2 linked regions of the Mus musculus genome follow. The protein of the gene in region 1 interacts with the protein of each later gene in a biochemical or structural test. Links are inferred from orthologs where the notes say so. Each region holds a gene or a part of one and is shown on either strand. Other genes may lie near its edges.

The links.
Region 2: the proteins of Ptch1 (region 1) and Shh are reported together in a solved structure, tested with the Homo sapiens proteins (5 studies listed by BioGRID and IntAct, with this or other methods). The link is inferred for Mus musculus from reciprocal best matches to the Homo sapiens genes PTCH1 and SHH.

Annotation. Positions count from the first base shown.
Region 1 is NC_000079.6:63,561,008-63,568,151, forward strand, and holds the start of Ptch1 (protein patched homolog 1), read right to left. Parts: upstream 4,729-7,144; 5' UTR 4,514-4,728; coding exon 4,355-4,513; intron 2,809-4,354; coding exon 2,616-2,808; intron 1-2,615.
Region 2 is NC_000071.6:28,458,944-28,465,446, forward strand, and holds part of Shh (sonic hedgehog protein precursor), read right to left. Parts: intron 6,206-6,503; exon of another isoform or gene 6,062-6,205; coding exon of another isoform or gene 6,032-6,061; intron 2,641-6,031; coding exon 2,379-2,640; intron 1-2,378.

The sequences.
Region 1 (7,144 bases):
ATTCAATGACCACCACAACCATCAGACATGTATTCCTCAAAGCAGGGACTCGCGGTGTTCTGACTGCTGAACACTAAATTTGATACCATATCAAATGCTCTCCTCGATGCGCTTAACTACATTTATGAAACATGCTTCTTGCGAAGGCAAGAGTTGAATGAATGAATGAATGAATGAATGAGGCCAAGGCAGTGTCAGACTAAATGACCTAAATCAATGGAAAGCAAAATGAACATGAAGGGACCTGCAGACCACACTCCTAGTTATCATATGATTCTCATTTGAACAGAGAGACACCTATTATATGAAATATTACATTCATATACCATCATGTCCTAAAATTAAAGTCACGGATATTTTATTGACTTGTAAGGTAAAGTGTTAGGCCCAAGAACCAATGAGCCATACTAAAATGGCAATGCAGAAAGGAGCTAAGGCCTCTAAGCCTAGCCAGAGTTGGGGTGTAGCTCAGAGAAGGAGGATTTGCCTAACATGGTGGTGCCCTAGGTTCCATAGCTGTATTAGCAGAAAACAAACAAACTATCAAGATACCAAAAGCAGGAGGGGGGAAGTGGGTAGGGGTGGGTGTCTGCCTCAGGTGTGTCCTCCTTACTGAACATCTTCCACTTAGACAGGTGGAGTCGCTCTACCTAAGTCTTTCATCATTCTTGAAACAATGTTAAGAAAACTCTACTACCTCTGTAAGCTTGTTAAAACTTATGGAAACAGCATCTCCAACTACTAAAAACCAAACTGTTGCAAGGCCATGGTGCTCATCAGCCTGGAAAAAGCCAACTGTGGAGCCATTAGCTTAACTTCTGCTCTATAGTCTTGCTGGTCAGTTTCTGTGCCTAGGACCTTACGTTCTGCTGGTTAACTTAACTTTCCAGGACCTTGCAGGGGGTGGCCTGTTCCCGCCAATACTCTCTTGCTTCCTGTCTCTCCAGTACCCCTGCCTACCTCAAGACATCTACTAAGGCCTTTTTTTCTCCTAATTTAACTTTCATGAAACAGTTCAAGTGGGAGCCTATACTCAGTGAAAATGCATTGAATTCCTGTAGTCTGAAGCACAGGGCACTGTGCAATGTCTCCATCACAGTGCCTAGCACAGGGTCAGGAACACTAGAGATACTAAGGAAATTTGTTGCCAGGGACATAGTCAGTGCTCAATAAAACTATTCTCTGAACTACCAATGACAAGGAAGCAAAGTGGGGTAAATTACCTAATGGAATCAATCCAAAAGACACTTGTATTCATTAACCAAGCTACTCAAGGCAGGAATGTGCTCTGCTCTTAAAGATTAGGATTATTATTTTGTTACTTTCCAACTAAATACTCCACCACTAGTTTTGCAAAAATAGTGAAAGCTAAGGTAACAGAATATTCTGGAAGGTTAGTTTCCAAGAGCATCCTGAAACTGGTGACCTAAGAAATTACTCATTAACCCTGGTTTCAAAATTCTGTCCTGGGTGGCTTGCAGTAGGCATGTACCAAATATTTGGGGTTGAAACATCTGCCCAACTACTCTGATGCTCAAAGCAGTGTTTGCCAGAAGCTAAAATGTTTTCAAACAAGGGGTTGGTACTTTTCAAAGAGATAACTGAGACACTAACAAAGAACGAAGGAAAAAAGAAAGCCTAAAATCACAAAGAGCAAAAAGATTCCACGGTGGTGGGGTGGGGAAAAATGGAAAACCTATTTTCAATTTACAAGTCCTTTTATAAAGCAGGTCCCCAACCCCTCCCCTTCCAAATCGAGGCACTTGGATAAAAGACACACACACACACACACACACACACACACACACACACCGAGGGAAGCTCCCGTGGCCCCTCCCATCAAACTTGCTTTCTTTTAAAATACACACACACTTGCAAGCTTAACAAATGCAACCACCCCCAAGAATAATTCCATTTAAAAAGCCCCCCCACCCGCGAGAAAACATTAATCTACTTTGCAAACATGCGTTCCAGTTTGTGCTTTACTATTTTTTTCAACTCCCCCCACCCCCCTTTGGTACCTTGAGACAAATGTTTTTTTCCCCCAGAGTTGAAAGCAGTCCAAAAACAGGACCACACACGCGGCCGCCTCCGCAGGCCCGCGAGGCGCCCGCCCCCTGCGCGCCCCGGGGGCGCGCACACTCCCTGCAGCCAGAGGGGTGGCCTTGCCCTCCACCCCCCTCTCCTTTCACCGCAGACACAGTGGGTGGGTGGGGGGTGGGGGTAAAGAAGCCGAGCTCAGGCTCCCGGATCAGAGAGGCCTTTCCCGGGCCGCGGCTCCCGGGCCAAAGCCAGGCAGGCAGCTGTGGCGAGCTTCGGGGACCACCCCCACGGCTCTGCGGAGTGGTCCGTCCCGCGCAGGGCCTCTGCGCCCCCGCCACTCTCTCCCACCACACCTAGCAAAGCGCAGCGCCCCGAGTAGATTACAGCGCGGCCTTTGTCGGGCGGGCCTGGCTACTGGCCAGCCATGCAAACAATAAACAGTCGCCCCTGGTGCGGGCAAGGGCTTCTCGTTGGCTACAAGGAGGCTCTAGGTGCATGCTGGCAAATATCTTCATCAAACACAGTAAAGGGAAGGAAGACGAAGGACGCGCTAGCGGCGCCTGATCGCTTACCTTCCACCCACAGCTCCTCCACGTTGGTCTCGAGATTAGCTGCCTTTAATCCCACAGCGAAGGCCCCAAATATGAGGAGACCCACAACCAAAAACTTGCCGCAGTTCTTTTGAATGTAACAACCCAGTTTAAATAAGAGTCTCTGAAACTTCGCTCTCAGCCACAGCGGCGCTTTCCGGCCAGTAGCCTTCCCCTGGGGACGAAGCAGAAGGGAGGAGTGAACGCCGGGGAATCGCTGTCCCCCGCACACCCGCCCGGGGATCCCCTCTGGACAGCAGTGTGGGGCGTGGGCGCCCGCGGCGCAATGCCTCTCCCTCGGACTGGAACCAGGACCATCCAGAGGAAGCCCTGGGGGCGTGGGGGCCTTGGTTGTAAATCAGTGAGACTGCAGCGTGGGAACTGTACTCTAGGGACCAGGGGGCGCCCCCACGCGTGGCCTGAGCGCCAGTCCTGAATGAGACTTGGGGTGCTGGGGAGAGAGGCTAACTGAGAAGCCACCACCAGCAGCCATGGTTTAGTACCGGGGACCTGGAGGGAGGGCCTGAGTGATCCTAGCCGAGAAGCCCAACACTAAAGAACCCCCAGGAAACGTCCCCCCTTCCCTAAGTCCTGCTCCAGCCTGTGGCCTCCTCCAGTGCCCCGGAGGCCGAGTGAAGGGCGCAAGCGCACTTAGGGACAATCTACAGCAACCGTGGTCCATCTGGCCCCGGTGTGGCTGTACGCGAGGTCCACGTGGTGAGCCCCGCAGCCAGAGTTCGGTCCACACTCTTTTCCACAGCCTTAGGAGACACCGCGGGAGCTCAGTTAGGAAATGCGGCAGCCATCTACAACTTACACTATTTGTGCTCGGAAGAGGGCGGCCACAAGGATCTTTCCTCCCTCTCCCATTCCCTCCTGGTGAACTCTTTAAAATAGCCGAGTGCACAAGGAAGAGGCCCAGGCCGGCGCCGGCGGGGGTCCTGGCTGGGCGCAGGCTGCTCTCCGGGCGGCGGAGCCCGGGGTGCTGGCCAGGGCCCCTGCGGGCCCCAGGCTAGGTGCTTGCCTTCCCCGGATTCCACACATTTCAGCCAGCCTCGTAAACACAATGAACCCGGCCGTTCCGCACACCCGTACCGAAGATTTAAGGTGGCAACTTGTTTACAACTGCCCCCCTCCCCGGCAGGCTGGGAGAAGAGGCGGCCCAAGACCTGGAAGAGAGGGGACGTCCTCTCCCGAGAATAATTTTTAAGGGAGCAGAGATTTCAAGCTCAACGAAAGCAGAACCGGCTGCCAAAAAAGGAAACCACCTTTACTTTGGCTCCCTCCCCTCTGTCTCTCTCCGCCTCTCTCCACTCCGCCTCCCCCTCAAAGAGGTTAAGAAATGTGGCAACGCCGAACTTTAGGCTGCAACCGTGGGCAGGGGCGCGGGAGAAAGGCGCTGGGGCCGAAGGCAGTGCCGCATTGCGGCCGCCCTGGAGGTGGTCCACTCAGGACGGTTTCCAAAGCTCCGGAAAAGGCACACCAGGGAGGGCGTGTGCGCGCGCACACACCACACACACGCACGCACACACACAGGCACCCCTCCACCCCCTGCGGACCTCAGACAGCCCTTTCCTCCAAAGTCCGGAGGGAGGGTTTGAATTTTTCAACCTTCACTTGTCTGCTGCTTTCTCAGGAGTGTGTGTGTGTGTCTGTGTGGCAGGGATCCCAAGGAGGAAGAAGAGGGAAAAGTGAAGAGGGAGGAGGGGACAGAAGTGCACCTTGGAAATCTGCTCCAGAGCGAAGGCGGCGTCGCAGTAGCTGGGCCGGTGCAGATAGTCCCGGTCCGGCGCGGCGCGGTGCGGTCCCCCGGTCCGTCTGCGCCTCCCGCCGCCGGCCTGCCTGCCCAGGGCCCCGGCGGCGTTACCAGCCGAGGCCATGTTGCCGCCGCCGCCGCGGGCTCCGGGCGCGCCTGGGCGCTCGGCTCGCGAGGACGCTGCTGGCCGCCGGGGACTCCGGCTCCGGGTGACAGACCCGCTGCTGCCGCTCACACGGCGGGCGCTGCGGGTGCTGCGGCCGTGGCCGCTGCCGGGGACTCAGACCCTGCGCCTTCCATTGCCACATTGCGCGTGAGTCCCGAGGTCTTTGCGGCCGCCGCTGCCCACATCCAGCTCGCGGGAAGGCGAGAGCCGGCGCTTCCAGGGCGCGCCTCGCGGTCCCCAAGTCCCCCCCAGACGTCCCCGCCCCGCGCCGCGACCCCTTCACGGCAGAAGGCGCGCGCAGACCCCCGCCGCTCGCGCCGGCTCCCTCGGCGCCCGCTGCGGGCGACGCGACGGTACCCGGCGAGTCTCAACGATGCCGGGCCGGGGCTGCCGCTGCTGCTGCTGGTGCTGCTGCGGCTGCGGCTGGAGTTGGCGGTGGCGGCTTCTGAAACGGCTGGTCGCTCTCTGGCTGCTGGGTTCGCGGTGGCTGCTCGGTCCCGGACTCTGCTTTCTTGTTCTCCTCACCGACCCGCTGGACCATTCTGCCCCCGCGCCGCGCGCTTCTTTCGCTACCGGGACCTGGGGACTCCGCTCTGTGTGTGTGCAGCGGGCAGCGGCCGCAGCAGCTCCTTGACTCAATAGATGAGATGGAAGAAGAAAAAAAAGAACTCTCTCCATTTGGAGAAAGAGGAGGAGGAGGGGAGGGGGTGGAGGGGGAAAGAGCGAGCGAAAGAGAAAAAGGCTGGAACTCCCGCCCCCGGGGCTGTCAGATGGCTTGGGTTTCTGCAACGCGATTGGCTCTTGGAGGGCAGAAATTACTCAGCAAACATGACTATTATTAGCTGCTTAGCAACAGCTCACCAAAGTAGAGAGACCACCCAGGTAGGCAACCCCCGTGTGTGCATCCCAGGCTTGGGGGTGGGGGGGCGCTCGCTCAGCGCCAACCCTCTCGCATGCAATACTTCCATTAAGGAATGCTCCCCCCTCCTTTCTTTCTTATTTCTTTTCTTTTCAACAGTGTCTTCTTTTTCGAGACGCCTTTTGCGAGCGCGCGCGCACACACACACAGACACACATACACACGCACACACTCACACGTACAGGAGCATTTGCCTCGCAATAGACATGAGGGATAGGTAATATATTTTTTTAAGCGCTTAAACAATTTCTGAGATTCCTCAAAGAAAACCCTTTTAGAGGCACTTTGGCCTCAAGCTGCAGCAAATACTGGGAGGTCCGGCTTGAATTCCCAGGCCTGCACCAATAATGACAGGGTGGTGGATAGTGCGCCAGTGTGTGCCAATTTTTTTTTCTCCTCTTTTCTTTTATAACCAAAGGCAAGACTTAGACTCTCGCAGGGAACAACGCCTCGTATTAAGATAAACAAAATGGAAAGTTAAAGAGGCGAGCAAGGATGTTGGGAAAAGCCAGCCCTTTTAAAAACCCCTCTCACTCCTCTATCGCCCCCCTCCAATACACAATACAGTCCAATTTGAAAACGTCTATAAGGAGACTCCAGACAAGTCTGCTATTTTATTTGAATTTTTAATATATAAAAAGCAAATCTTTTCAGCAGGCCAGAGAAATGGAAATGAGAGATTTCCTGATATTTGGAATTCGTCTGGATCCTCATTAATTAATCACATTCTTAAAGTCAGTTTTAAACTTTAAAACAAAATAAAGCTCGATACACACCCTGTAACATTTAATAGCGTGACGTAGAAGAGAATAAAGGCTTTGATGTGGAATTCATTTTAAACAAATTGTTCATAGAGCGCTACGATTTGTCCTGATATTGTGTCCAGTGTCACCAAGACATTCAGGGGATTCACAACAACAAACAACAAGAAGAAGAAAAATGCGTAGTGGGGAGGGGAGTGAATGTTGGAGCCAGCAACAAATTAAACTGTCTACACAACTACGCTCTTTAAGAAAAAAAAAAAATAACACTTAAGAAAGCACATTCCATTCTCCAATAAGTTTTGAAGTTCCTCCTCCCCGCAGTAGACACCAGACCCAGAAACACGGGATTCTGCTACGTCCTATTATTTTTCTTTTCCGACTTGAACTGCAGAAGGAACCGGAGTAGTGAGGAGTCAAATGAACCCGTGAAATGGGGCAGTGTGGCTTTAAGATGCACACGGTGTGTGTTCATTGAAGAAAAAAAAAAAAAAAAAAAGAAGAAAGAAAAGGAAAGAAAGAAACCCAGATGGAGGGAAAGGGGGGGGAGGAGTGGGGGAGAAGGCGGAGCCTACTCCACCACGTGACCTGGACCGAGAGGCCCATGCGCGCACCCGCGTTAGTGCGCGTCCGCGCCCGCGCGTTCCTGTCTTCGGCCTGCTCGTGATGCGGACGCACAGGTAACAGGGTCCGCGCGCGAGGCCAGCACGCCCCAGCCCTCATCACAGTGCGCACAACCTTCCCTGGCCCCGGGCAGTGTGCGCGCCCTACCGCCGCGGACAGACGTGCCGGACACGCCGTAGTACATTCCTGAAGGCGGCCCGGCCCCCTCGCGTTGCCCAATGAACGCGCGGCTTCTCAGCTGCCAGCCAATGGCTGCGTTCCGGCCCTTCCATTCAGCGGCGCCGG
Region 2 (6,503 bases), on another chromosome or scaffold:
GTCTGCTCCAAGAGGCACGGGACACTCCCAGCTTTTCTCCAGCCTGGGGCCCTGCCTTCTCCCTCCCCTTCTTTGCACCCAGCCACGTCGCAAACCCAGAAGGATATTTACTCTCCACTTGGATTCCTCAGGAAGCCTCCTTGAGCTCGCACGGGCGCCAGGCGCACCCTCCTCTCTCGCGCCCGGACAGCAGGGCGCAGCGCCTCCCTGTGCGCAGTGCTTGGAGGCTGCGCCGCGGGAACCCGAGCCGCCCCCGCCTCCCGCTTCCCCAGTGAGGGACTTGGTGTTGGTCGGTGGATGGCCAGGGAGCCGAAAGCGAAATATAGCAGTAGTCGTTGTAGCAACTGGACAAACATTCCAGAGGTTTGCCCGAGGTGTGAAAGCCCGAGACTTGTGTGGATTTTCTAATTAAAATCCAATAAAGAGCTTGGTATTGTGGGATATTGTCATTGTGATTTGTGGGATAAATAGGAGACAGCCTCGGAAGAGGGGATACTTCCAACCCCCTCTCCCCATTCTCAGCTCACTCTACAGCTCGCTGGCCGCCCCCTCCCTATTTGCTCAGGTGCAAACCCCTCCCCCTCGTGCAGTTCACTCACAAGGCACTATTTGCACAGCCCGGCCTCTTTTCCAAGCACTCGAGATGTGTATTTGAATTTTAAATGGCCAGGCCTGCTCTGAGCGCTGGAAGCGCGGGTTCTCAAGGCCCCTTGACTACCCGCTTTACTCAGCCCTCCGTAGCTCTCCAAGGCTCACTGTCCGGGAGGACAATAATTGAGGATGGGGCGGAGCGCAGGGGGCCAGGGAGGAGGGGTGGGGAGGTCCTAGTCTTCTTTGCATTCCAATCTCCAGGATCATGCTTTTGGCAAATAGAGATTGCCAGAAAGAATCTTTCTGCTGGAATTACAGAAGGCTTTTAATCTTCTCATCGTTTTCCCCGGCATGAAGTGTGGGGCTGGCCGTTGGAAGCACTCCGTAGCCCCCCGGAATGCGACCCGGGGCTCTGGCGAGCCGGAGTCGTCGAGTCGCACGACCCCGCTTGACACACAAGGCGCGGCGCCCCAGCCCGCGTGTGTAGAATGCCAATGAGCTGCCCTCCCCGGCCGGGGTCTGCACTGCCTTCGAGACCCTCCGGGCTGGATTACCGCTGCTCATTTGGGAGGATATCCCCTAGGAATTCCTACCAGAGGGACTCCGAGAACAGGGATGGCAGGGAAGTCTTGCGTGTTCAGCGCAGACTTAAGGTCCAGGGAAGAGCTTACTTAGGGCCTGGGCCCGCCAACTGTATTTCCCATCCCAGCCTAATAGGAGCTCCCGAACCAGGGTCCTGCAAGGAGCCTGGTGAGGTGGAACTCCTGAAGCTGACCTCTTCTACAGGCCACCACCGCTCCTGTGCATCATTGGCAGCTATTGTTGCAAGAGCCAGTATCACCTACTCAGTATTTCTCGACGTTGAAATTATTTCCAACTAAATTGTGTCGCTAATATACAGTTTAGGAAACTTGAGAAGCTGGGGTGGGGGGCCTCGGGGAGGACAGAAGTCTATGGAAAGTCACCGTGAGCTGCCTTGTCAGGCAACACAATTCATAGAGGCCACTGCACGTGCGCTGGCTGGCTGTCTGCCTCTCTAGCTGTTCCACCTCCCCCCCCCCACCCCCCAACAGCGCGTGGCATTGCAGGCCCAGGGAACTCCGCCTAGCGCTGGCTGGGGGGCAGCCGCTCCAGCGGGATCGCCTTCAGCAATCCTGCCAGGGACTTTCTGAATCCCAGCTGGGCTCCTAATAAGAACGGATGCTTCTAGGCTTGCGGTCTCCCGACGTTGGAAGTAAAGAGTTCATTACCTCCCACCAGGCCTTTCCCAACACACGCTTAGCGAGTGAGTTAAGTTAGTTTAGAATCCACAGGCGCCCAGCAGGGAGGAGCCAGTACCCGGGTTTATGCCCTGGACAGACCCTTCTGCTCATGGGGTTGGGGGGAGGGGCGGCAGGAGGTTCTTAAGCCCTAAATGAGAGAAGAGATCAAGGCAAGCTCTGGCTGATATCTGTAATCACCAGGAAGCCCCCTCCTTCCCCCCATTCCACAATGCTCTCTGACATCCTCTGTCTCTACTACCTGAAGCAGGGGGCTCTGGAAACAAACCAGTCTGGGAATTTGACCATGCAGAGTTGCTGGCCAGTAGCCTGAAAGGTTGCAGAAGTACCTGGTTGGGGGAGGGGTCATGAGCTATGTCCCCACCACCGAGATCTACTTATTTTCAAGAGCATTCCTCCCTTTTTTATGGCTCTTCCTTCCTCTCTGTTTTTCCTCCAGACCTTCTGGTGGGAGAGGCTGGAGGGGGAGGATGATGGAGAAAGGCCAGGAGGAGAAGGCTCACTTACCTGCTTTCACAGAACAGTGGATGTGAGCTTTGGATTCATAGTAGACCCAGTCGAAACCTGCTTCCACAGCCAGGCGAGCCAGCATGCCGTACTTGCTGCGGTCCCGGTCGGACGTGGTGATGTCCACTGCTCGACCCTCATAGTGTAGAGACTCCTCTGAATGATGGCCGTCCTCATCCCAGCCCTCGGTCACTCGCAGCTTCACTCCAGGCCACTGGTTCATCACAGAGATGGCCAAGGCATTTAACTTGTCTTTGCACCTCTGTGGGGAGAAGGGGGAACCCTAAGTGTCAGACATGGTCCTTGGTGGTCTCTCCACCAACCACAGGCCCAGGACCCAGGGGTTGAGTGAATGAGAACATGGGGGTGGGGCATGGCGGCTGCTGGAGAGGCAGGTTCTCCAGGGAACCAACTGACCACCTGTCTCCAACTCAGAAACTTAGATGTAGCTATAATGGCCTGAGAAACAAGAGGGGTTTCTCCTTAGATGAGATTCCAGGTGCGCTTTGGTGAGACAGGACTTCTGGCACACTCTGAGGGTTAGAGTGCAGCAGGAGTGTTATCTTGGAGGTCAGGCCTCCCTTATACCTGCTGGGCCTGAGGAAACCCATAGCAACTCTGAGGGGTAGGCAGTGGGTCAAGGACAAGCAAGCAGGTTAATGCTGGTGTCCAGCACAGGCAGGGCAGAGGACAAACATTCTTGGTCTAGGCAGCCACATTCTTTCCCCCAAGGAGCTCCTCTCTGCCAGGCTTGTCTGGGGCCTGATTGTGTTCCTATTTTCTTTGACTAGTTCTCTTCCTCCCCTCTTGTTTTCTTGGCCCTGCATAGAATGGTGTCCGGCAAGTTTGAAGAGCAAACTTAACAAGTGGATGGGGGTGGGGTGGGAAAGGTAGGGGGATGGGGAGCCAGAAAAGCCCACAGCTTCTGAGCCCTGCCCAAGAGAGGGTCTGGTGACTCTGCCTCCTCCCTTGCAGGACACAGTGGAACTTGGGATAGTGGAGGCACTACTCTGGGGCCACATTAAGAAACGGATGTCCTAAAGAGAGGAGGCAAGTGTGTGTGGTGGATGGCTAGCTCAGTGCTTGCAAGGTTATGCTGCGGCTGGTGGCATGCTGGATTGGGGGTTGTGAGCGGAGACAACATGGTAAGAGCACATTACCCAGAGAACTGGACCTCTGTAGAGGCAGGAGTAATTTCTGCAGAGGGTAGGACTGATAACCCGTGATCCCTCAGGTTACAGGGATGGGATAATAGCCCCTAGATGACCGGGCTCTAGATGTAGCCAGCTCAGTCCTTCATGGACAGAGAAATGTGTGTGTGTCAGGAAAAGTCTTTCCGGCAACAAAAAGGCCCAAGAACAGGGCTGTAGAGTTCAAAGCACAACAGATGGAAGGGATGCAGTAACAACAGGTCCGCTCTGGCAGGTTTCTGGGCTGCCAGCGGTTTTCCTGAAGAGGAAAGTCCGAAGGACCGAGTTGGAGTTCAATCTGGGGGACTGAATCTGTTTTACATGAAAATCAGTCACTGAACCAGGGTCAGTTTAGAATAGAGAATCAGAGCCGCTGCGCGCAGGCGCACACCGTGGTACATTCTGCTTATCTCCTTCTTCATTCCAGCCTGCACTTCACCTCGCTCCCTTCTTTCAATGGGGTGAGGGAAAAGCTTGCGATGTGGCTTTAACAAGCTTCCCATCCGGCAGTAGGGAAGAGCGAGGGTAGGATGGATAGGGTTTTGGAGCCCAGTACCCTGAGCGGCGCCACTAAAGCAGACACGGGGGACCCCAGACAAGGAGCTCTGGGCCGAGACAGGCTTTAGGCGCGGAGAGGCCAACTCTGATGGTTACCGAATTGGTACCTGGTGCCCCAGAGTCTTCCCCGGCACCAGGCCCAGCGCAGCTCAGCAGGCAGATTCAGGGTACTCCCCGCCAGCGATGGGAGGGAATGTCGCAGGCAAGGCAATTGAAGCTCAGCCCGGTTATTAATTCATTGGGTCGTGTGCCGCTAATCAAGCCCGACTCTGTGCAGCCACCGTGAAGCCCAGCAGGGTCACTGGGGCCCAGCTTTGTGTCTGCGGAGGCCAAGTTGTTCCTGAAGCCTCCAGCTCACCTCCCGGATCTACACCAGTGCAGTCCAGGGGCTCAGAGCAGGGGCTGTCACATCCAAAGATGGGCTCCCCATATTGTGAGGGAGGTGGTGTCTCACTTCAAGAGACTCCGTTCTCTAAATGCACTCCACTCTTCCCCTAACTGGGGGGCGGGGACAGACCCAACTCTTCAAAGCAGAAAACTATTCTTCAAACCCACACCTGGCCTCTTTTTCCTGACTAACCCCTAAGCACGTAGGAAATTATTCAACCTGGCTCTTCAGGTGTTCCCCCCTCCCACTTCAGCCTGCAGAGCCTGCAGATCAGGCCCCTCGCTGCCTCCCACCCCAGCCCCTTGGCCGCGGGCACAACAGCCTGGCACTCTCTGGGGCCTGGACTGTGCTGGAAGAGTGTCTGTCTGCGCTTCCCTCTCCGGAGTTAATATTAACTAGGAGCTCCTGCGATCCAGAACTGCTCAGAAAGTTCCACTGGGGACGGTCCTGCCATGGTTGAGGGACTTGGGCTCAGTCACCTTAGAGAAACAGACTGGGAGGCAGGAGAGACTGAAGAGAGTGGCACCTTGGGCCGAACCAGGTGGTTGTTAAAGGAGGGTGGGGACGACCAATGGCAGGTTCCTGAGACCCAAGGTTCTCCCCCCTATCCCCTCCCCCACCCCGCTTCACCCTTTACCTCTAGTCTTGTCGTCTGGCCACCTTCTTCCTTCCCATCCCCTCTTAACTCTGCCAAGCCGGAATAAGAAGCCGCCGAGGGTTGTACTAAGAGGAAATTTTTGGACGGCCACCTTTACAGCCACCCTTATTTTGGTGGATTTTTGCAGGGTGGGTGAGAAGATCCTTGGCTTGGCCTTCCCCACCCCCACTTTTGCTGTCTCTACCCCCTCTTTTTGGGTTGGGAATCAGAAAGGCTACTGCCCAGGGGAAAAAAGTATGTGTTTTCGTTTCGTTCGTCTGAAGGAACTTGACAGAAGGTCAGAAGTTCAAATGCTGCTCGCGCGCGCGCGCGCGCGCGCGCACGCGGCGGCGGTGGAGGCGAGAGTGATCCGGTGTAGGGCCGCTGAGCCCCGGGTACCGGGCTGGAAGGATCAGCGTGAGGGAAAGGACGTAACTGGTGGTCTCCGTTTAGGGCGCTGAGGCCGAAGGGCCGCGAAGGCGGCGGGGTTGCAGTCCAGGTCAGGCCCGCGGGGCTCCCTGCCTTGCGACTCCTCGCGGCTCAACCCCTGCCTGCGCGCCCTAGGGAGAGAGCGCGCTCGGAGCCCTGCGCTCTGGCGGGGCGCGCTCCGCGCGTGCAGAGCCAGGGACAAGCCGCCGGAGCTCGCCCCCACCCCCAACCCCCGAGCGCGCTGCAACCCTAGTCCCGGGATCGATAACGCAGGAGTAAGTGGAGCTGAAAGGCGTCTACCGTGGCTCAGCGCTCTTGCAGCTCTGCGACACGCAGAGGCCCGGCGCTCTGGGCACCGGAGCCAGACCGCCGAAGACCCCCCTGCAGACCCATCCGGGCTGAGGTACCCTACGTGTCCACGCCTGGCCTCTTTGCATCAGTAATCTTTTACCTCCTCACACCTTTCCAAGGACCTCCTCATCCTGAGACGCCCCCCCCCCCCCGGGGCACCCAACCAGGGGATGGGTGCCCGGAGCCAGAGAGAGAACTCGCTCCTTCAAGCCACACCAGTCGGGCGCCCCGCGGTCCGCGCAGAGTTAACTGTAGCTCGCGCAGCTCTCCGGCTCCCCCGCGCGCGCGCGCCCACACTCGCGGTCCAGATTTAAGGTGGTCGGGAGCAGATGAGGGAGATGGAGGGAGAAGATGGAGGGAGAACAGCCCTGTATTCAGTCTCCACGATTCCTCTTTGCTCCAGTTCTGGCCCGCCACCCTAAGGCTAGTCTCCTAGGCTTCCCATACAGCAGGTACCCGGTGGCGAGATGCGCGTCGCGTCGCGCGGGCTGTTCCACTCTTGTTTTCTCCAGCCCCCGCCCCCTGCACTTGCGCCCCGCCAGCGCCGCTCCGCCAGCCGCTCGGCGCACCTA